Linked DNA regions of Tribolium castaneum. The protein of the gene in region 2 binds, or shares a complex with, the protein of the main gene of each other region. Links are inferred from orthologs where the notes say so. Each region holds a gene or a part of one and is shown on either strand. Other genes may lie near its edges. The genes, in order: RabGGTb, temp and Ykt6.

Region 1 (6,641 bases), on a different chromosome or scaffold from region 2:
AGGATTTCAGTCCGGATAAGTATTGAACTTCTTCAAAACACAAAAAATTAACCGTTACATTGGCCAATTTAAAAAATCTCACGCTGTTTTATGACGAAATGTGAAAGAATCAACCGTATGTATAATTACACATTCAAAAATAAACACAATTAAATTTTTAATAGCAAAGTCAAGAGAAACAAACCAGAAACACTTTGAACTAGTTTCTCAAGTTGAATTTTCTTTCATTTTAGCTCGAGTTACACATATTTCAATTAAAATCTCTCGCGTTTATCTCAGCTTGGAGTAAAAAGGCGCAATTCTGCTCTTAATAGATCAAATTGCTTTTGCAACGCTTTAAGATGTTTGCGTTACACTCTTACATTTTTGCAAAACAAAGCAACCTTGTTTCCTTTTCATTACCTCACTCCGACTCTAGTCAGGGATAAAATTAAAAAACCAGCCTCGCTCACACTACTAACACACTTTTGCGAATTTTGAGCGAAGCGGGCCATCGCCGAATATTGACCCTGACTCTCTTCCAGCGAGTCGGGCACCAGAAGACTGAGAATAGATTTAAGGAACTACCACTCGCTGGAGTACTCCGGGTTCGTCCCCTCGCGGAAAAACGCGATCATCATCCACGGCTTCAACGGGACCGAGAGCAAGACCCCCATGACCATCCTGAGAAACGGTAAGGGGAGGAAGTCAGCGCTTTCTTCCGCAAACCGCATGACGCCACGAATTCGGCGTTTTGTTAATTAATTTAAAATTCGGCAGCGTATTTGTCTCGCAACGATTACAACATCTTCACGGTCGACTGGATGCCGCTCGCGAAGTTTCCCTGCTACCTATCGGCCTTATCAAACATGAAGCTAGTCAGTCAGTGTACGGCTAAATTGTACGCTTTCATAATGGAGAACGGAGGCGATGCCCGCGAAACGACCTGCGTCGGCCACTCTCTGGGGGCGCACATCTGCGGCATGATAAGCAACCATCTGGACGTCAAGCAGCACAAGATCGTCGGTAGGTTGCCACAAAAGTTACTTTTTGCGAGCTGAGTTGGGCTTATCCAGGACTGGATCCGGCGCGGCCGCTCATCAATCGATACGGAGACAAGTACTTCAGACTCACCAAAGACGATGCCCACCAAGTACAAGTCATTCATACCAATGCGGGGGTCCTGGGGGAGGTCAATCAAGTGGGCCATATTGATTTCTGCGTCAACGGGGGGCAGATGCAGCCGGGGTGCAAGGGGCACATTTTACGTAAGTATTTGGAGCAATTAATTTATCAAAGTCCGGGGCATTATCTGTGCGATATTTTTTAAACGCTGACATGACTTATGGCTTCGGTCGGCTTTCTTCGCTGCAGTAAATGCAGTAATAATGACCCAGTTGTTAAAGATAAACGAACGGAGGCAATAATTAATCTGATTTGTGAAATCGGTGAGAATTTTAATTATTGTACTTTAATCGATTTTGATAGTTGCATGTCTACAATTAAAAAAGATACGGGTAATAGCTAAAGCGTGTCCTGGGAATTTCTTCGTAAATTTTTATCAAAATTTTTATATTTAAAATGAGGTAATAATAAGAAATTAAAGCGGCACCCAATCAAAAAATCGTCTGCAGCGAATATTATATCTGGTAAAAATTTCATCAAAATGGCTTATGAGATCTCAAAATCTCCTAAAATACACAAAACGTGAGGCTAACTTGACTTGTGTAATAGCTGTAGGAATTTCAGGCAACAAACCTTCAAGGGACTCGTTTTTTTTCGTAGTCTCCTCCTCGATGCCCAATTAATTAACATTTTAATTATCAATTATACCAACGCAAACTCGAGTTAGAGGGGAATTCGCGTTTTAAATAACCCTTCAAAACAAAGTTTGTTAATTAAAAACTCTGTTTGAAGAGACGACACTGTCAACTTTTTCATGACAAAAAAGCTGTAAGAAGAGGAAAAAATGAAATATCAATCTGACAGGCATGGTTGATATTAGCGAGGAAAATTAATTGTGTAAGAGGTGGCTTTAGCGTGTTGGTGGAAAATTTTTCCTGCTCTTCACACTTTCACGCAATTTTGCCATTTTTCAGCACCTACAATTGGAACGAATTAATTTGCATTATTTAACTGACAACGAATTTTAAACAAGTGAAAAAACACGCTGGAACCTTTGCTTTGAGGGACAATAAAAAGCCAACATGTTTCGGTGTTTTTGTTGGAAAAGTGGAAAACATGGACGAGGATAGGGATGCATAAAATTTGCGAAATCAATAAAAAGAAACGCAGAAAACTCGTCTGAATTCGTGTTATTTATTTCGTTATATCTAAAGTAATCGCCAGTTGTTTCCATTATCACCACTGAGAGAAAAAAACTAAAAAATTCCCATAAATGGAAATTTTTGAAACGAAACGAAAAACAGTGAAACCTGTACTATTATTACTTTCGTCTTCGCAATAATCGATTAATCTGACCGCATTTATGATTGAATGCTACCTTGGTAATCAAACTACTGGTTACTTTCACCGTTTGACTAGCAATGAGGTTTTCAAAACGGGCGGCAAAAATTTTGAACTTTTTCAAACTGTCAGTGTTGCCAAGCCACCGACCCCAACACGCCACTTGTCATCTTGACAGCAAATATTGTGGTTATGTTTGACAATGGCAACACCAATAAAAGACGTGATTTTGAAAGAAAATGCGCCAGTTACGATACTTTTCGACAAACACATCGAATTCCTGCGGGACTACGGCAAAGACGACAACAATTTCGAGTTCGGTATGACGGACTACCTCCGCGTTTCCGGCATGTACTGGGGCTTAACAGCGCTGGAGCTCCTCGACCAGACACATTCCTCGCCTCAGGAAGAGATCGTCACTTATATCAAAAACTGCCAAGACCCGGAAACGGGCGGAATCAGTGCGTGCTTGGGGCACGACCCACATTTGCTCCACACTTTGAGCGGCGTTCAGATTTTAGCAATGTACGACCGATTGGACGCAATTGATGTCGAGGCTGTTGTGAAATACGTCAAGTCGTTGCAACAACCCGACGGAAGTTTTACGGGAGACAAATGGGGCGAAGTTGATACGAGGTTTTCGTTTTGTGCGGTGGCCACCTTGTCTCTGCTCAAGAGACTGGACGCTGTTGACGTCGACAACGCCGTGAAATTTGTCGAGTCTTGTATGAATTTCGACGGAGGGTTCGGCTCGCGGCCGCTGTCGGAGAGCCACGCGGGGTTGATTTACTGTTGTCTGGGGTTTTTGTCAATAACCCACCGTCTTGACTTGGTGAAGAGGGACGTTCTAGCGTGGTGGCTGTGCGAGAGACAGCTACCGTCGGGGGGCCTCAACGGCCGGCCGGAGAAGCTCCCCGACGTTTGCTACTCGTGGTGGGTTTTGTCCTCCTTGACTATTTTGGGGCGACTTCATTGGATAAGTGGCGAGAAATTAAAAAAATTCATTCTGGCGTGTCAAGACACCGAAACTGGGGGCTTCGCAGACCGGCCTGGCGACGTGCCTGACCCTTATCACACTGTTTTCGGCCTTGCGGCCCTATCGCTGCTCGGCCAAGCCGAAATCAAAAACGTCAATCCCACTTACTGTATGCCGCAACACGTTATTGATAGCATGCAACTATCGCCTCAAATATTACGTGATTAAAATTGATAGATCCAACCTTATATGCTAATTTTGATAAGTTTTAGCCCGCACGTGATTTTAATGTATATTGGTTTAATTTTATAATGATAATAAAGCCGATTTCTAAGTGATTTGTGTTTTGTTTGGACTGCGGTCCGCATAATTGATTTTGATGATTTAGGTCGAGCCCGGTGTAGCCATTTTCAAAGTGCCTGCTTTTTCTCCACAACTATACGGAAAACGAACGCGCATTTAGGGCGGCCGTGTGTCACCACCTGCCCCAAGAAGTCCTCAAATTGGGGGTACTTGCCCGGGAAGCCGGTCCCCATGGGAGAAGACACACCGTTTGGGTGGGTATTCAAGTCTTACTCATTATCACTGCTTTCAAATTAAAACTAGAGTCTCAATAACTTTTGATATTGAGTAAATATTACTTCAAACAAAAACAGCTCAATTAGTTTAGTTATTTATTTAGTAAATTTTTAAATCCCCTTAATTTTTTGAAACATTTTTGAATAGTTGGCGCTTTGTTTTCAAATCAAGGTTGATTTTTGAGTTTTGATCCCAGTAGCCCCCAATTTTATACAAATTTAATAAAAAAAATGAAATATGATGATTCCAAGGTAGTGTAAACTCGTTTAAACTACTTTTTTAAACGTGGAAAAAACTATTTATCCGTAGTAAAATAAGCTTTGTCGATGCGTACATAAGCTAGGGATGTTTTATTTTAAGAAACATCTGAATGTATCGAAAAAACATGTCGTTTAAGGTGTTCTGGTAACTTTTTGCTTTTACGGAAAGATAACGTTTTCCCACCCCGTCAAAATGGTTCAAAAAGTAGGTGATGCAGCGTAAGGTGTAATTAATTTTCGTTTTGAACTAATCAATCCTAAAATCGACGTGTTGAGGAAAATATAATTTCCCACAAGAGTAGTATTTGTTTTCAGCACTCCCTCCACTCGTGCTGTATAGATTGTAAATATAGGAAATTGCTTACAATGAATAACTCAAAAAATAAACAAATAAAATTTCCTTTTTTTCGCTGATGGAATAATAACAGATTAAACTAGTGCACTAAAATTTCCAAATGTCATTTCTCGTAAAAAATCATCGTATCTTGACGATGGGACACCATATAATAAACGTCCCTAGACCTTATAGCAAAGCAAAAAAAAACTGTGAAGTAAGGGAAATAAGTATGACATAAAAGTTATGGACACAAAAAAATATTTACTCAATACCAAAAATTATTGAGACTGGCTAGTCTTGAAATGAAAGCACTGTACGATATTTTTTGCAGGATCAAAGGAATGTTTTGCGTGGATACTCACTCAAATTCCGACTGTCCGTTCGAATAATATTTTTTAATCATTTAATATAAAAATACAAAAACAAGGAACTAGAATTATTCATTTTTTTCAACAATATCGTCAAGGCACTCTTTCAGTTTTTTGAACTTCTTTTTAAATTCGATACCACAGCCCTTTGATAGGCGGAAATCCACTAGAATTTTCCCCTGTATTTCGATGACGTTCGTCTTAAACATGAGTTGATTTTTCATAATATCAACAGTTGAAATCGTGACCTGAAACCCCGACTTATTAAAGCCCCAAACGAAACTGCCAAACTTACAGCTCCGTTGCCATCAATCTGCCAATTATAATGAAAAGTATCTAGAACAGAGCACAAAACTTCCAAAGTTTTCTCGTAATTAGTGGTAACATAAAATCTCGTCATTCTCTTAACTAGATTATTAAAGTTATCTTTGGTGAGTGGAGTCTCATTGAATTGAATTTGGGAGCTCAGAAGCATATCGTCGTTATGAGTGGGCTGCGAGAAGCACACAAGTTCGCGGTTTGTCCTGAGATCAGTCACCAGCTGGTCTATAGACGGCGGACGCACGGCTGGAGTCGGCTGAGACAATATCACAATCGGATTGGTGCGATGCACGCGAGTTTCAGTCTCCATCATCGAATTGAAACGCTTAACGGGATTCAAATTGGAATCGTCCACGACATCGGTTTTTTCTAAACAAATAAAACCATCAAACAATGAACGTCTTCTTATTCCAACTCCAATCTCCACGACGCAATGCCAACCGCATTGCTTTGGTAATCTAGCTTTATGACTCAAATAAAATCACAAACGCTAAATTACCAAAGTAACAAAATCGGCCCCCACCTGTAGGAACCAAAAACAAAGAAACTTACGGTCGTCAAAGTTGTACTTCATCCAGGGGTGCTTCAGGATTTCCTGAATCGTCAGTCGCTTGTTTGGCTCAATTGCCAGGATTTTTCGGATCAGACTGAGCGTGGCATTGCCCAGTTTGCTCCAAGGTGTGACTGTGATGTAATTATCGTTCTTATAATTGACGAATTCTTCGCTAAATGTGTCGCTCCAAGGCAATTCTCCGGTCAACATTGCTATTAAAACGATGCCACAGCTCCAAATGTCGGCAGGTTGGGCCCGATAGGGCCTTAGTAGTATTTCAGGGGCGCAGTAAGGCTTCGTGCCACAGCGGCGGTCCAAAAGCCGCTCTTTGCCCTTACACCTGAACAAAGTTGCCATTCCAAAATCACTGATTTTCAACACCCCGTCGTCGTTTATTAGGAGATTTTCGGGTTTGATGTCGCGGTGCACGATCCCTAAGTTGTGCAAGTAGTGTAACCCGTTCAATAGCTGCTTCATGTAAAGTTGGGCCAGGGAGGACGGCATGCCTACGTCAGGCTCAATCATCTGGAAGAGCTCGCCTCTGGAGGCGTACTCCAGGTAGATGTACTCCCTCAGAGGCTCCCTCCGTCGCCCAAAATACTTGATTATGTTCTCGTGGTTCAGCATCTTGTGTATGATCACTTCTTTGTTGATGTTAACCTGCACATCGTCCTTCTTCCCGTAGTTGATTATCTTGCAAGCGACTTTCTCGTTGGTGTGTTTGTTAACAATCAGCTTGACTCTAACAAAGAAACCGATAAGACGTGAACACCTAGCACACATCTGACTCACTCTCCGTAAG
Region 2 (7,839 bases):
AGATTATTCACACCTTTTATGTGAAATAATTTTTCCATGGCCAACTACTTTCAAATATTTTAAATATATTTTTTATCAAAAATATATCAAAATATCAAACTATATTTATATTGTTTTGAGTTTAGAAAAAAAATAAGCTTTTCGAAAATGTCATAGCCAACTATGATTCTCATAAAAAAAAATACAAGTTTATGTTATTACAGATAAACGAATGATTAAAAAAAATCGCTGATAACATTACTAAATTCTCTGTAAAAAAGTGCCTCTATAATGTTTTTGTTTCAAATGTGTATCTTTTAAAATAAGGAAGATATGAATTTTTTAATATTTCACTAAAATGTCAACTTTTGTTTATAAGTCGAAAACAAAAGACGATACCGAGATGCGGGCCCAAGAATGTGTCGTTTTTCTCTAAAGGATCGTATTTGATTAATTTGATTAAATTATGCACTTGAAACAGGTGCCGATTGACATTGACAGTTCTCTCAGATAATTGTCAAAAAACTAGGTTGCCAACATAATCCAACTAAATTACCCTGGTTTTTAGTGTAATTATTATAGCATTCCGTTGGTTATTACGATACGCAACCGACATAAAAAAAATAATAAAAAAATAAATAATAAATAAAATGATTAAAAAAAATCATTGATTATTTCATTAATTCCTTAGGTCTGGTGGATATCGTGGTCATAAACGAAAACCAGCAGTTCTTCATCGACGACCAGCAGAATTTCAACAACCAAACGGAACAGCCCGAGTTTATTCTCCCAGAATTGTCCCAAAATCAAAACGAAGTTATGACCCCGCAAGGGGTCCTAACCCAGTCAATGCTCTCCTCAGGTGATATAACTTCAACTGATGAGTTAGTTATGGTTCTAACAGACCACGATTATGGCGATAACCAGGAAGAGATAACCAATGATAATTCCAACATTGTGGTTCTGTACAGCCACCCAGTCGATGGGCAACAAGACCAGTTCATAACCTCCCAAGGCAACATCATGGTTAATTCACAAACCGGTCTCATTGAAATCAGAAATGGGGCAACAATTACATCGACGGCGAGTCAAGTGGTCATGAACCCGCCCGAAGCACAGATCGAGTCAATTGAAATGATCCAGAGGGAGATTGAGAGCCACGGTGGCGAACTGAAGGAGGAAGAAAAACCAATTGTTGATGAAGAAAAGGAGAAAGAAGCTGTAGTTCCGCCAAATGATGCCCTCATTGAAAGTTTAACACAAGGGAGCCAACTCGAGTTCACCTCACCTTTGACCATTGAAGAGCCGGAAAAACCGGTTGAAGAACCGAAGGAGACCGAACAAGAAACAAGTGACAAAAAGGAGGAAGAAACGGAACAACCAGAACCTGCTGACAAACAAAATGAACAGTTGGAGGTGAATGAAGAAGAAAAGGGGGGGGAAGAAGAGGTTGCCAAAACGGACGACGTTAAGGAGGAAGAAGAAGAAGAAGAGATTAGTAAAACTGACGAGAGTAAGGAGGAGGAGGAAGAAGAATTGGGGAAAACTGACGACAGTAAGGGGGAAGAAGAGGGAGAGCGGGATGTAGTCCCAGCCCCCACGCCAGAAAAAGGGGAGGAAGAGGTTGAGAAAAATGAGACGGAGGAAACAGCAGTGCAACTGTTGGAAGAGACAAACACGGAAGCTTGTCCTATGGAAATAGAAGAGGAGAAAACAACGCACGAGGAAAATAATACAGTGGAGCAGGAGTTGTCACAAAGTGACACGTCCACTAGTCAGTTTAACGACGAAAATTCCCAGTCTTCGCAAGATTCGCAAAATAAGGATGTAGAAGCGACGAAAATATCCATCTTGGACGATTGGGAAGATACTGATTCGCAACAGTCCGATAATAAGGAAAAGGAAAAGGTTGCGGGGGAAACGGTACATAAATTGATGGACGATTGGGAGGAGGAGGAGGAAGATGATAAGAAAGATAGTGAAGGATGAATTTGTAAATAAGGATTCACTATATTATTAGAGGTCGTTTATTTGTAGGAATTGTCAAGCGTTTTATCAGTTTACTATACTTTATAGTTTTATTTACAATAAATATATTTAAAAGAATATGCGTGTTTCTTTATTTTCGTTTAAAAACATTTGGCGTTTCAGTGGCCCTGATACTAGTTCTGATTTAAATTTTTGGAAAAAAATTTATCACTTTAGGATAATAAATTTTTATCGAGACTTTTATTACGATCCTGGAAAAATGTTATTAGGATTAACAGGAACGTGAAGGTGTTTCGGGTTTTACGCGAGAAAAATTTGAGGTTTCCTCACATTCCTATGATCCTAATACAAAACCGCCATTTTTTTTAAATTTAAATTTTTAGCAAAATTTTTCCACGTTTAACTTGAAAGACCTCTTCGCTTTTCTGTGCTCCTGATACATGTCACAATATTTTTAAAATTTAAATATTTTTTGAAACTTGTATTAGGATCACAGAAACGCGAGGAGGTCCTTTGTCATAGGCGGAAAAAATTTTGCAAAAAATTTAAATTTTTAAAAATGGCGATTTCGTATTAGGATCACAGAAACGCGAAGAGGTGTTTCGGGATTTTCGCGGCAAAAAAATTTTACACCTCCTCGCACTCCTATGATCCTAATACAAAATCGCCATTTTTTTTTTTAACCGAAATGTTTACAAATTTTTTTCGCGTATGACAAAAGACCTCTTCGCGTTTCTGTGATCCTGATGCAAGTCTCGAAAAAAAATTTAATTTTAAAAATATCGAGACTTGTATCAGGATCACAGAAACGCGAGGAGGTCTTTCAAGTTACACGTGGAAAAATTTTACCAAAAATTTACATTTAAAAAAATGGCGATTTTGTATCAGGATCATAGAAATGCGAGGAGGTGTAAAAATTTTCCCGCGTAAAACCTGAAACACCTCTTTGCGTTCCTGTGATCCTAATACCATTTTTCGACAATTTGAAAAATTGCAAAATTACTCTTAAAATCCACAAAACGAAAAATTTGTTTACCTGCTTCTGATACATACCCTGGAAAACCTCCTCACAGATTTATTAAGAAATACACCTAACATTTTTTTACGAGTAATGAAAATAGTAACTGTGTACTTTTGATAATTTGATAGGTTGGTCGGGTTTGTGTAATAAAGAGCCTAATGGTTTTTTAAGTTTATTTTACAATAAATACAGTACAATCACTTAGAACAAAAATCAGAATTGCCAACCGAATCAGTCATTCTGGATCACTCAGTAGCTTCGCTCTGTAGAAATCCTAGAAACTTTTTAGCCGTCATGTTGGTGCGTCCAAAATTCCCAACAGTGTCCTTTTTCTGTAACAAACCACACAATAAATCGGATTTATTAGCAAACCTTCGCCTAAAACTAATGCAAACCGTTTGATATTAAAAATTCCCGTAAATACCCCAATTTTTGCGCAAACGCGTGCCAGTTGCCACCCCTGTCCCCCAAATGTCAATTTGACATTGTTAAAAAAAATCCAAATATTTTTTGATTTCGTTTATCCCGCTCTGAACCACGACCACAACCGAAATGGAAGACGACAATTCCATGTCGCAGCGCATTTTACACACACTGGAAACCATCCTAACCAACGACCCCTTACTGTAAGTCACCTCCCCTAACCGCACTTTCTCCCAACTTGAACTTCCAGCAAAGACTTCATAATAATCCCGTGCGAAAGCAACACAAAAAACAAATCGCCCGTCTTGTACGAAGAACACAACATCGGACTCGAATCATGGTGTGTGAAGCACATCTACCGATACGCTTATCTAGAACTGTTCGAAACACGCAAACTGCTCGCAAAACGCAAACTCTCCTTCTCGAAACAAAACAACCTGAACCGCCTCCTAATCGGAGTTTTATTAATAAACCCCGACGTTTCGACCTTTTGGAACATGAAACGCGAACTGGTCGAAAACGACGTCATTGGCGCCGCCAACGAGCTCCTCTTCGCCAGACTCGTCCTCTCGTACAAGAGCAAATCAAACGAGGCGTTTGCGTACCGCCGCTGGCTCCTGGGGCGCACCTTGGCCAAGCTGCAAGCCAACGACTTGACAACCCCCCGGAATTTGCTCGAAAACGAGCTGGCGGTGTGCGAAATGGGGGCCCAAAAAAACGCCAACAACTACCACGCTTGGAGCCACCGCGTGTGGAGTCTCGAGACTCTGGGGGCCCGCACCGCCAACTTCAACGTGATAATGGACGAGCTTACCTTTAGCGAAAAATGGGTCTCGGGACACGTGTCCGAACACACGGGGTTCCACTACAGACAATACTTGTTCAACACGGTTAGGAAAAGTAGGAACATTACAAGCGTATACGAGTTTTATTTTTGCGAAACCGTCAAACTGTTAGGTTTAGTTGGGGAGAATGACCCAAGAGACATCCTCACCTTCCTGCTAGGGAAGGAGAAATCGCAGGGGAAACCCCTGGAGGAGACGATCAATTTCGTCAATTTCTTCTGTTTGCTACTCTATGACCTGTACAACGTTGTGGAAACGCTAAACTCGCTCTACCCCAACCACGAGTCCATATGGTACCACCGCCGGTTTCTCGTCTACCATTTGGTTAAAACCGCCCATGAGTACCATGGTTTGGCGTTCAAAACCGACGTAAAGCTGGACGAAGTGATTTTGTACGGGACAAATATCGTTAATGTGGACGGGGAAAAGCAACCAAAACTGTTCAAAAGTCAGCCAAATAAAGTGCAGTCGTGTCGCTTGTACCAGACTTTGGTCAAGAACGAAGCTGAATTCATTCGGAAAAATCTCGTACAATCGGCACAATTTCACGAGCTTGAGTTGGCAAGACGGTACGAAAAGTGGCTGAAATTCGTCGTTTGCATGGAAGATGTGTGATCAATGTACAGGGTGCGGCATGGATGTCGAGAGAGTTTAGAGAAAAACGAGTGACACATTCACGGGTCAAAACCGCATCTCGCTATCGTCTTTTGTTTTCGACTTATAAACAAAAGTTTATTTTTTATATCTTCCTTATTATAAAAGATACACATTTGAACCAAAGACGTTTACAGAGAATTTAGTAATGTTATCAGCGATTTTTTTTAATCATTCCTTTAGCTGTAATAACATAAAGTTGTATTTTTTTAAATGAGAATCATAGTTGGCTATGACATTTTCGAAAAGCTTATTTTTTTCTGATTTGATATGTCCATTTGTGTAATACATTAATTTTGAATATTTAAGAAAAAACAAAAAATTTCGCTTTTTCTTTATAGTAGGCCATGAAAAAATTTTGGATTTTTAATTAAAACTATGAAAATTGTATTACCCAACAAGTATTTATAATTTAATGTTTTTTTGAACCCTAATTAATTCAAAAACAGCATAATAAATTTTTATTAGATCAAATTTTTGCAATTAATAAAAATTATTTGTTTTTATATTTAAAATGGCAAGCTTACGTTGTCATTCTATTTTCCAATTTTAAACAAGAAATGTCGGAAGAAGAAAAATCTTATTAATTGTATGATTGCGTATCAATAAAATTTTATTTTACAAAAAAATGTCAATCCAAACACCAAAATCAAATTCCATCTGCGGTAAAAAAATACACAACATTATCAACGTCACCTCCATTGCACTAAATCATAAAAAAGTGGCATCAAGTGGTAGTGAGACATCGTTTGCAATTTTCTGCACATTTTTTATGTAATTAAAATCTGCGACGTTCGTATATTTGTTCAATTGAAAATAACTTTAACTTATTTTTATAATTTCACATTTTTTACTTTAATATCCGGTCACAAAATTTCTAGATTATTTACACCTTTTATGTGAAATAATTTTTCCATGGCCAACTACTTTCAAATATTTTAAATATATTTTTATCAAAAATATATAAAAATATCAAACTGTATTTATATCGTCTTTAGTTCAGAAAAAATAAGCTTTTCGAAAATGTCATAGCCAACTATGATTCCCATTTAAAAAAATACAACTTTATGTTATTACAGTTAAACGAATTTTTGAAAAAAATCGCTGATAACATTACTAAATTCTCCGGAAAAGAGTGCTTGTATAATGTCTTTGTTTCAAACGTGTATCTTTTATAATAAGAAAGATATGATTTTTTTAAGATTTCGCTAAAATGTCAATTTTTGTTTATAAGTCGAAAACAAAAGACGATCGGGAGATGCGGTTTTGACCCGAGAATGTGTCTCTAATTTTTCTCTAACCTCTTAATTTCGGACACCCAAAAAGCAGCACCCTGTACAAACGAACAGTACCTTAAAGTTTATTTGTTTAAGATGCACAAATTTCGGGGAAGTTTCCCGCTAGGGGCGCCCCACACGTGCCAAAATAGGTCAGATAGACAGAGTCACATACAATGTTTCCTTCCGGTAACAATAACTGATCAAAGTGGCCTGTGATTGGCTCGGGCCACTTTGATTCGAAAATTAATACGCGCCATCCAAGTGGCCTAGTCACAACCCAACAAATGTAAAACAAATAAATTACCGTATCTCTGACTCAAAACTGGCCTTTTTTCCCTTCCCCTCACAAAATCCGACTAGCGATATTCCTTTTATAACACGTTAGACTGCACAGCGGTGCATTTGTCCGCGAACAGGAGTATTTTTTCACATTGCCACAGCCCATGCTACACAGTGTGGCTTTCGGGGGCTCTTTGCCCCCCGCCCCCGGCAAGGGCCAGTCCATCCCTTGCGGGAACGACACTGTCGTTAACCCAACATTCTGACGGTACAAAATCATGGGGGTTTGCGCTTTGGTGATTTTGTTTTTCGCCGCTTTGGCCGCCTTCGACTCCTGCTTTTTGAGCAGCCTTTCCATCGTCTTCTTCTTATCCTTTTCGCGCTTTTCGTCCGCCAGTTGTTTGCGTTTCTGCGACTTGATCGCCGCTTTTTGAATCGCTTCGGCCGTCATGACCTTCTCCTAAACCAACAAGTCTAAACTATTTGAATTGAAACAAACTGAATTACTTTATATCCAGTCGGGAGCGACATTAACGTGGGGGTGGTCACAGAGGGGCTCCCGTCCACCTCACGCTCGTACATGGCGCGCTGTCGCGCCGTCATCAAGGCCGGGTCCTTCGGCTTGATTTTCTTCAATTCGTCGTCAACATCCTCAAGCTTCCCGGACTCGATGGCAGTGAGCCACCGTTCCTCGTCACTTGAGGCACTGTCGCGTTTTTTGCGCTTTTTATTACCAGAGGACGATGCGGACGGGGGCTTGTTCACCGGCGACTTGGTTTTAGCACCAGACTCGTCCACTATGAGCAAATCACCGGAGGTGTCGTCCTCCGGCAAAGGGGGCCTCCGCTTAACCTTACTTTTCTTCGATTTCTGCAACTCTAAACCCACGATAACACGATCAGGGGGCACATTTAAACAAACTCACCCATTCCAAGCCAAATTCAAACGCCGTCTAAAGCTAGGTTATGTTGACAAAATGGCGTGACCGTAGCCACTTCTGGCTTGTAATCAATCATAATTAACTAACCCTGGCACAATTTCGCCCCAAATCAATCATCAAGCAAATAAATGTTTCACAAAATACAATAAATAACAAATAAAGGCACCGGGACGCGTTATAACCGGCACAAATGTGCCGGTAGCCACAACCAACTGTCAATTGTCAAAACAAAAAAAATTGTTTGAAGCCGAAAATGCCCCCCAAGTTTAAATTTTCCGAAGGTAAGACACGTGGTCGCCCCCTTAAGCCGCCCAAACACCCCTTTTCCAGGCGAGAAGGTTTTGTGCTTCCACGGCCCGTTGATTTACGAAGCCAAATGTCTGAAGTCGACCATAACCAAGGACAAGCAAGTGAAGTACTTTATCCATT
Region 3 (6,544 bases), on a different chromosome or scaffold from region 2:
GGGTCGAAATCTCTACCTTTATTATGTGCTATTGCCAGATAAGGACAAAAGTTCAGAAAGTAGGGTTAGGGTGTATTATGCTCTCTTCTGAAGTGTTAAATTTTAACTTTAATGTTTTTTGTGTGCTTTCCTGCTCTTCTAGAGCGCTATTAATTATTATTGAACATGTTTAAGGACAGACAAATCTACCTTGAGTCAACGACATAAATTTCAGTGAGATTTATTGAAAAATGCACTTCTCGTGTCAACCTTTTCATGAAAAAGGGTGTTTAAACGTTTATAAAGGGTATGTTAACGTGTGTTGTTAACTTTACCACGTAATAAAACATAAAGTATAACTTGGTAATTTTTTACTTTAACTACTTCTGGATTTTCAAGCTGAAACTTACACCAAACGATTCCTCTGAGTGCCCTGATGACCGTACACTATGAATTTTCTTGTGCAAATTGAAAATAACATTAGAAAAATAATTTTTATTTTCACTCACTTTTTACTTGAATCGCCATTTTTGTTGATTTTAATTTGAGTTTATTTTTTATAATATCACGTTAATTTTTATTATTATAGTGGATCAAGGTGTCGTCTTTAGGTTAGACTATTGCCTACTATCGGTTAGGAACAACATGATCTCCAAAAATATAACGTAGTAATGAGCTCCAGAAGGTTTACGTAGATAGGTGCGTTTTTCCCAAAAGTGAGTTTTTTGAGATCGAACCGCAAGTGAGTCACACTGCGAGGAGACTCCCATAGACAGAAGTTGCAAACATAAGGTGCCAGACCGGTGCCAGTTTGGCTGATTGCAAGTATGTCTTTATTTTATCATCGATTCGGTGACCACTATTAGTTTCGTAAACTTAATGGATTTAATAAATATCTTTAACATTAAATGTGATCGTGTCATGTTGGGTAAAATTCTTCCATCTGTGCTGTCTGTGCATCCACCTTTTCAAATACAATTAAGAAATTTTCATAATAATTGTATTTGATAAGGTATTGACATCATTTTGACGTGAGCAAAAATTAAAAAAATATAAAGTAATCGGAATTATTTTAAATTCGCGCCATTTTTAGTACGTGATGATGCGGCTAGATGGCTTCAGCTAGGAATTCATTGCCAACCATTATGTTCCGCTTCTATAAAAGTGTTATCCTAGGGATGACATCCTTGGCACGCTTGGCACCAACACAACAAAATGAAACATCCCAAGCAATTTCAAAAATTTATTTGTAAGAATTCGCCTTATGTTTGGGTAAAAACTGGAAATTTTCGGGCACAGGCCCTAGGAGCATTTCGCTGATTTTGACCCAATCGCTGGCCGACGTGGACGCCATTAACGTCTCAAGGTCGTCCCGCCCTTGGTAGAAAGGGGGCCGCTCGTTGATTTTCTGGGGCGGTTTTTCCAACAAACCCACCGGAACATATCTGTGCAAAAACGACAACCACTCCAATAAAAAGCGTCTCGTGTTTTCCACCCCTTTATTGTCAGAACCCCAATGTTCCAAGCCGTAATTTGTGTACTTTTTCAAAAGATCGAAACGTTCAGAACTGCTAATGTCCCACAATTTTTGTTCCTTAATTTCGGTGAAAATCCAGGGCTTGATGAGGGCCCCCCGCCCGATCATGACCCCCGCCAATTCGGGGCACGTCTCACGTGCTATTTTGTAGTCTTCGTAACTCAAAACATCGCCATTGCCTAGAACCGGCAAAGGGGCTGCCGCCTGGGCCACCTGTCTGATGTAGGTCCAGTCGGCGAGTTTGGTGTAACGCTGCTCACGCGAGCGTCCATGAATTGTGATAAGGCTAGCCCCCCAGTCGCGGAATTTCGGGGCCTACGAACCAAATAAAACGTAGAAAAAATGTATCCAACTCGTGAGTAAAGTATCTCTTTTTAGCTCGTTAAAAAAGTGTTACTTTACGCACTTGTTGCATAATTATTTATTTACCAAAATATGCGCCAAATTTTCGTTACTATAAACCCCAGTTCGGGTCTTGACAGTCATTGGAATTGTCAGTAACTGGCTGAGATTTTTAATACAGGACTCCAAAACTCTTTGGCGTCTTAACAACCCACAACCGCCCCCTTCTTTATACACTAATTCAATCGGACACCCTAGATTTAGATCGATAAAGTCAATTTCGGCCTCTTGTTGCAACACTTGGCCGCACTTGGTCAACAAATGCGGGTTGTTTGCGCACAATTGAACCCCGAAAATGTCCTCACTGTGGTGGCGCTTCACCAAGGCCCACTCCTGAGGGGCCCCTTGCAGAAGCGAAGAACACATTGCCATTTCACCGCAGGTTACATCAGCCCCGAATTCTTTACAAATTCGTCTGAACGGTAAATTGCCAACTGTTGTTAAAGGGCTCAAGACTAGTTTGTCCCTCCAGTCGATTTTTTTTTTTTTCTCGTTGAGTCAATTTAATCAAGTCTTCATCACTAATGGCCCCACTTGTTTTATTATCGTCCTAAACACCCAAATTTAAATAAAACGAGTAAAAGTAGTACAAAATAATTACACTTTTCTTATTGTCATTGAATTTAATTAAACTCTCGGCGAAGTCAAAATTATACGTCCGTTTGCGTAACGCGACTTGTAGTTCGTGCGTTAACTGATTTTTTGCTTGCGCTGTTTCTACCAATTTTTCCGAATTGATTTTATTTCGGCCTTGGTCAATGTGACTAGAACCAAACCTACAAGCCAGACCTCTGCCACACCGTCCGAAAGTTTCATAATTGTAACAAATCTCTCCTAAAACCAAGAATTAAGCCCAAATTAATGCACAAGCACAAATAAACCGATATCTTTTGGCTTGATTTTCAAATATTCGTCAACGTCGTGCAAAAACTGGCAATTTTTGCGTTCACATTTCGGCGCCTTTTCGCCAATACTTAAGTTAATCAAAGTGTTACATAATTCCGTCTCTCGGGTGCACCTAAAAGTAGGACCGCGCGATTTATTCTGACCCCGTAATTTTTTCTTTTCGCTTTTTGATAATTTGGGTTTTTTTTCGGGCGGTGTCTCATCGTTTTCGGCCAATTTGCGTTTGTCTTTATCAGAAACGCACTCTAATGCCAATTCTCTTGGACGTTCTGTGAGAATAAATCTAAAATAAGGGTGAAATGTGGGGTTATATCACGTGGGAAAATGAGCAGTCTTACTCGGGCTTGATTTTGCAAATGCCGCTGTCCCCCATATTACCCTACTTGCGGTGTTAATAGAAATTAGACGTGTTGGTCAAGCATTAATTAAAATCTTTAATTATTTAAAACTTTTATCAAAATTGACAGCAGTAATGGTTGTTGGTAACCGTGTATGGTTTTGGTTACCAAAATTTTGGAAAATACAAGTTATAAAAACGGGACAAATCAGTTCAAAGCGAAAATCACGGGTGCTGTTATTTGTAATTTATTCTCTTATATGATTCCGTTTTTAATTATTATCCTATTCAATTAAAATAGGAAAATAGGAAGGTTGGTTGACCTGGCTCAACGTCATCCGTCAGTCAAAAATTATCACCTGTCAAATTTTATTATTCGTTCGTGTTTATTGGCAAATTATGTTTGTTTAATTGCTTTGGCGTAAATCCTATTCGTGATTTAACTTTTAGAAAGCTCAAGAAATGTGTACGATGGCATGTCTTATATAATTCCGTTCTAATTCCCGAAAAATCGTTAAATATGGTCAAGTTATACTGTATTAGTGTTTTGTATAAAGGACCTACGAGTGCAACATGGTTAAAATCAGCCTTTGACCTACAAAGTTTCAGTTTTTTTCAACGGGGATCAGTGGAAGAATTCATGACTTTTTTTTGTAAAACAATCGTCGAGAGAACAATACCAGCGTCACGACAGTCCGTAAAGGAAGGAGGTTTTTTCCACAAGCATTTATTTACACAAATAATGTAACACTTTTTCAGAGTATATGTGTCACGTTTATGTGAGATCCGATAATTTAGCCGGCGTTGTTATATCAGATCACGAGTACCCAACACGGGTCTCACACACTTTAATTACAAAGATTTTGGACGAATTTAGCCAAAAAATCCCGGCTTCAAGTTGGCCCAATTTAACAGAACGCGAAGTGGCGTTTCCGCAACTCAACACTTACTTATCCAAATACCAAAATCCGCGCGAAGCTGACGCTATGACTAAAATTCAAGAGGATCTCGATGAGACTAAAATAATTCTAGTAAGTGGTTGTGTCAAATGACAATTTCCACAACTAATTTTCCAGCATCACGCAATTGAAAGTGTGCTTCAACGCGGCGAAAAGCTGGACGATTTGGTGTCAAAGTCGGAAGGTTTAAGTATACAGTCAAAGGCGTTTTACAAAACGGCTCGCAAAACCAACAGCTGTTGCACGTTTAGTTAAATCATTCCTTATTTACCCCAATTATTTAACAGCCTGGAAGTTTGGATGTTCATATATTATTCCTACTAATAACCGTTAAATGTTGAATGTATATTTACGACAATAAATGTAATGACCGGATTTTTACAAACCAATTTATTAACCTTCAAAAATACTAAACATAATACGTTATAAAACATTACACTGGGGGGTTATCGAAATAATCCACGGTCTCTCCTGATGGCGTTCCCCTCTGCCCCCTTCCAGGCAATTTCAAGGCAACGGTCTCCGACTTCCCCAACGTCCCTTTGCTCAGAACCGGCCCTGGAACCTTCCTCTGCCCATTTTCCCTCTGAATAAACTCCAATAGACTCATACTCGGCAACCACGACTTGTCCTTAAAGGCAGTTGCAACGATATTTCGGTTGGGTTCCGCATCGTAGGCGGCGCTTTCACACCCAAAATGCTCACAATACTCGTGCACGAAATGTCTCTTATCTCTGTTCATTGACTCAAAAGAATACGAACGACTCTTTTGTTTACTCTGCTTAGCCAATTGGACCAACTCGGTGAGCTTTTCGTGCACTTTTTGGCAAAACTGCGGGTCTTTTTTCGCCCAATTTCGCATAAAATCGGAGTAACGAGGAGTCAGTTTTTGACTCAAATCCGGGTTGCGAATCTGCAGACCGATAGCCAGCCGCCGGTTGCGCTCCAGAACCCGACACTCTTCGGTGCACTCCAATCTGGAAAACAAAAAAAATTTTTTTTTATTATCTACGAACTTTTTTTTGAAATAATTACAATAAATGCAAAAATATCTATTTACATTTTCAAAACCGACGGCCTTTTGGCTTTGTTGATATCGCTGATGTCCACAGCTTGATCCTTCAACAAATCGGCCATTTTGTCCTTCAAATGCGCCATTTCGATCTCCTTATACGCCTCAGCCAACTCGATGCAAGGCCTTGTTGCTTTCTGCAAGCCACAGGGGCACGTGACCGGCACCATTTGCCTACAGGGCGTGTCAGGACACGGCCCTTCGTGACACGTGACCCCGCACGGATGCCCGCATTGGACTCTCTTCACGTTACATTTCTGTTTGCATGGCAACGTACACGCCCCCAAATGACACGCCTTGTCACACTTATGTGCCCCACACGGCATGGCCTTCCCACACGGTAATCCACAACTGAAATCCTCCTGATAACAGGGAATAGCCGATCTCTGCTCGTGTTTGCCGTAACACCACCTCTTGCACAAAACGGTACACGGTGGACACGCCCCTGTGTGGCACGCATGATTGGCTTCGTGGCCACATGGGCGTGGCCTGGAACATGGATTATTGCAAGGGGGCGGTTTTGTGCCGCATGGAATGGGCGGGTATAAGACGTTAGCTCCGCATTCGCAATACAATTCGTCGAAACTTGTTTCCACGCAAGGTGGGCACCGCCCACTGTGACACGTCCTCTCGCAACGGTGTTGGCCACAAGCGAGCATGTGATTGCATGGGAGGGGACAAATGTGTTCGATTTCGATGCAACAACGTTGATTGCATCGGTGTTTGCCACAGAGGCGTTTCTTGGTACATTTTTTCTCACATCGGGCATCGTCGGCTTTCGTCGTTACTTGTCCGCAGGGGATTTCCCGGTCCATGTGACCGCAACGACAACGAATCAAGGTCGTAAGGGGGCATGGGGGGCACGGACCCTCGTGACATGGAAGTTTGCAGGAGTGGGGGGCTGCCGGTTGCCCACAATTTAGGATTTTCCCACAAATCTATAACAATTTATTAAATTAATCAAAAACATAATTTAATTCAATCATACTAACTTTATCACAGCACGGTATAGGATCCAGACATGATTCTCTTCTCTTCTTCAATTCGCTCCTCCCACAAGGACACGTCTTAACCACCCCCACATCTCTCGGACACGCCTCACAATCCCCCTCGTGACACACTTTAGTGCACGTGTGATTCCCACAACTCAAGCCCCGCCCACAAACCTCCCCACACGAATAATTCACCGCTCCTTTAAACTCCTCCCTACATTTCACTTTACGCCCCACCTTCTCACAATAACAAATCTGTCTCAACTCTCTATCGCATTCCATACATGGCCCCACGTGGCACTTCGCCCCGCATTCGTGGACCCCACATGAGAGTTTTTTTCCACAGATAGCGCCACAAAC

What was found.
Region 1: the proteins of temp (region 2) and RabGGTb are in contact, whole or in part, in a crystal structure (PDB 6O60), measured with the Homo sapiens proteins. The link is inferred for Tribolium castaneum from reciprocal best matches to the Homo sapiens genes PTAR1 and RABGGTB. Residues at the interface, in NP_001093136.1 of Homo sapiens: Val61, Lys62, Leu65, Pro66, His69, Leu73, Arg76, Leu97, Asn98, Asp100, Phe101, Thr102, Thr103, Asn106, Lys109, Glu110, Leu113, Ile141, Arg144, Trp145, Pro192, Ser193, Tyr195, Ser199, Ile202, Trp203, Gln206, Val231, Ser232, His234; in NP_004573.2 of Homo sapiens: Lys6, Asp36, Tyr37, Cys40, Met41, Glu43, Tyr44, Ile89, Gly90, His91, Asp92, Asp136, Trp138, Glu140, Phe177, Asp178, Gly182, Cys183, Arg184, Pro185, Gly186, Ser187, Glu188, Ser189, His190, Gln193, Trp217, Glu221, Arg222, Pro225.
Region 3: the proteins of temp (region 2) and Ykt6 are in contact, whole or in part, in a crystal structure (PDB 6J7F), measured with the Homo sapiens proteins. The link is inferred for Tribolium castaneum from reciprocal best matches to the Homo sapiens genes PTAR1 and YKT6. Residues at the interface, in NP_001093136.1 of Homo sapiens: Glu31, Gly33, Leu34, Ile35, Pro36, Val48, Val50, Glu51, Lys53, Leu54, Gly55, Ser58, Lys135, Tyr191, His225, Ser228, Met229, His230, Val231, Ser232, Asp233, Phe298, Asp301, Leu302, Ser305, Tyr306, His309; in NP_006546.1 of Homo sapiens: Met1, Ser29, Phe30, Phe31, Asn83, Glu84, Pro86, Gln131, Asn132, Pro133, Arg134, Gln180, Phe184, Arg189, Ser193.

The regions. Positions count from the first base shown.
Region 1 is NC_087395.1:14,837,025-14,843,665, reverse strand, and holds RabGGTb (geranylgeranyl transferase type-2 subunit beta), read left to right. Parts: upstream 1-2,589; 5' UTR 2,590-2,647; coding exon 2,648-3,649; 3' UTR 3,650-3,759; downstream 3,760-6,641. Other genes in the region: lipase member H-A, read left to right, coding at 525-673, 760-1,005, 1,056-1,247, 3,810-3,978, 4,929-4,986; serine/threonine-protein kinase grp, read right to left, coding at 5,034-5,213, 5,261-5,655, 5,839-6,581, 6,632-6,641. UniProt on the Homo sapiens protein: Catalyzes the transfer of a geranylgeranyl moiety from geranylgeranyl diphosphate to both cysteines of Rab proteins with the C-terminal sequence -XXCC, -XCXC and -CCXX, such as RAB1A, RAB3A, RAB5A and RAB7A.
Region 2 is NC_087400.1:985,193-993,031, forward strand, and holds temp (protein prenyltransferase alpha subunit repeat-containing protein 1-B), read left to right. Parts: upstream 1-3,321; 5' UTR 3,322-3,541; coding exon 3,542-3,615; intron 3,616-3,662; coding exon 3,663-4,872; 3' UTR 4,873-6,513; downstream 6,514-7,839. Other genes in the region: centrosome-associated zinc finger protein Cp190, read left to right, coding at 671-1,968; uncharacterized protein LOC135266778, read right to left, coding at 3,235-3,321; INO80 complex subunit B, read right to left, coding at 6,535-6,930, 6,978-7,348, 7,396-7,399; MRG15 (mortality factor 4-like protein 1), read left to right, coding at 7,664-7,691, 7,741-7,839.
Region 3 is NC_087398.1:3,639,603-3,646,146, forward strand, and holds Ykt6 (synaptobrevin homolog YKT6), read left to right. Parts: upstream 1-3,530; 5' UTR 3,531-3,681; coding exon 3,682-3,871; intron 3,872-3,920; coding exon 3,921-4,192; intron 4,193-4,237; coding exon 4,238-4,375; 3' UTR 4,376-4,495; downstream 4,496-6,544. Other genes in the region: stc (protein shuttle craft), read right to left, coding at 4,554-5,097, 5,181-6,130, 6,185-6,544. UniProt on the Homo sapiens protein: Vesicular soluble NSF attachment protein receptor (v-SNARE) mediating vesicle docking and fusion to a specific acceptor cellular compartment. Functions in endoplasmic reticulum to Golgi transport; as part of a SNARE complex composed of GOSR1, GOSR2 and STX5.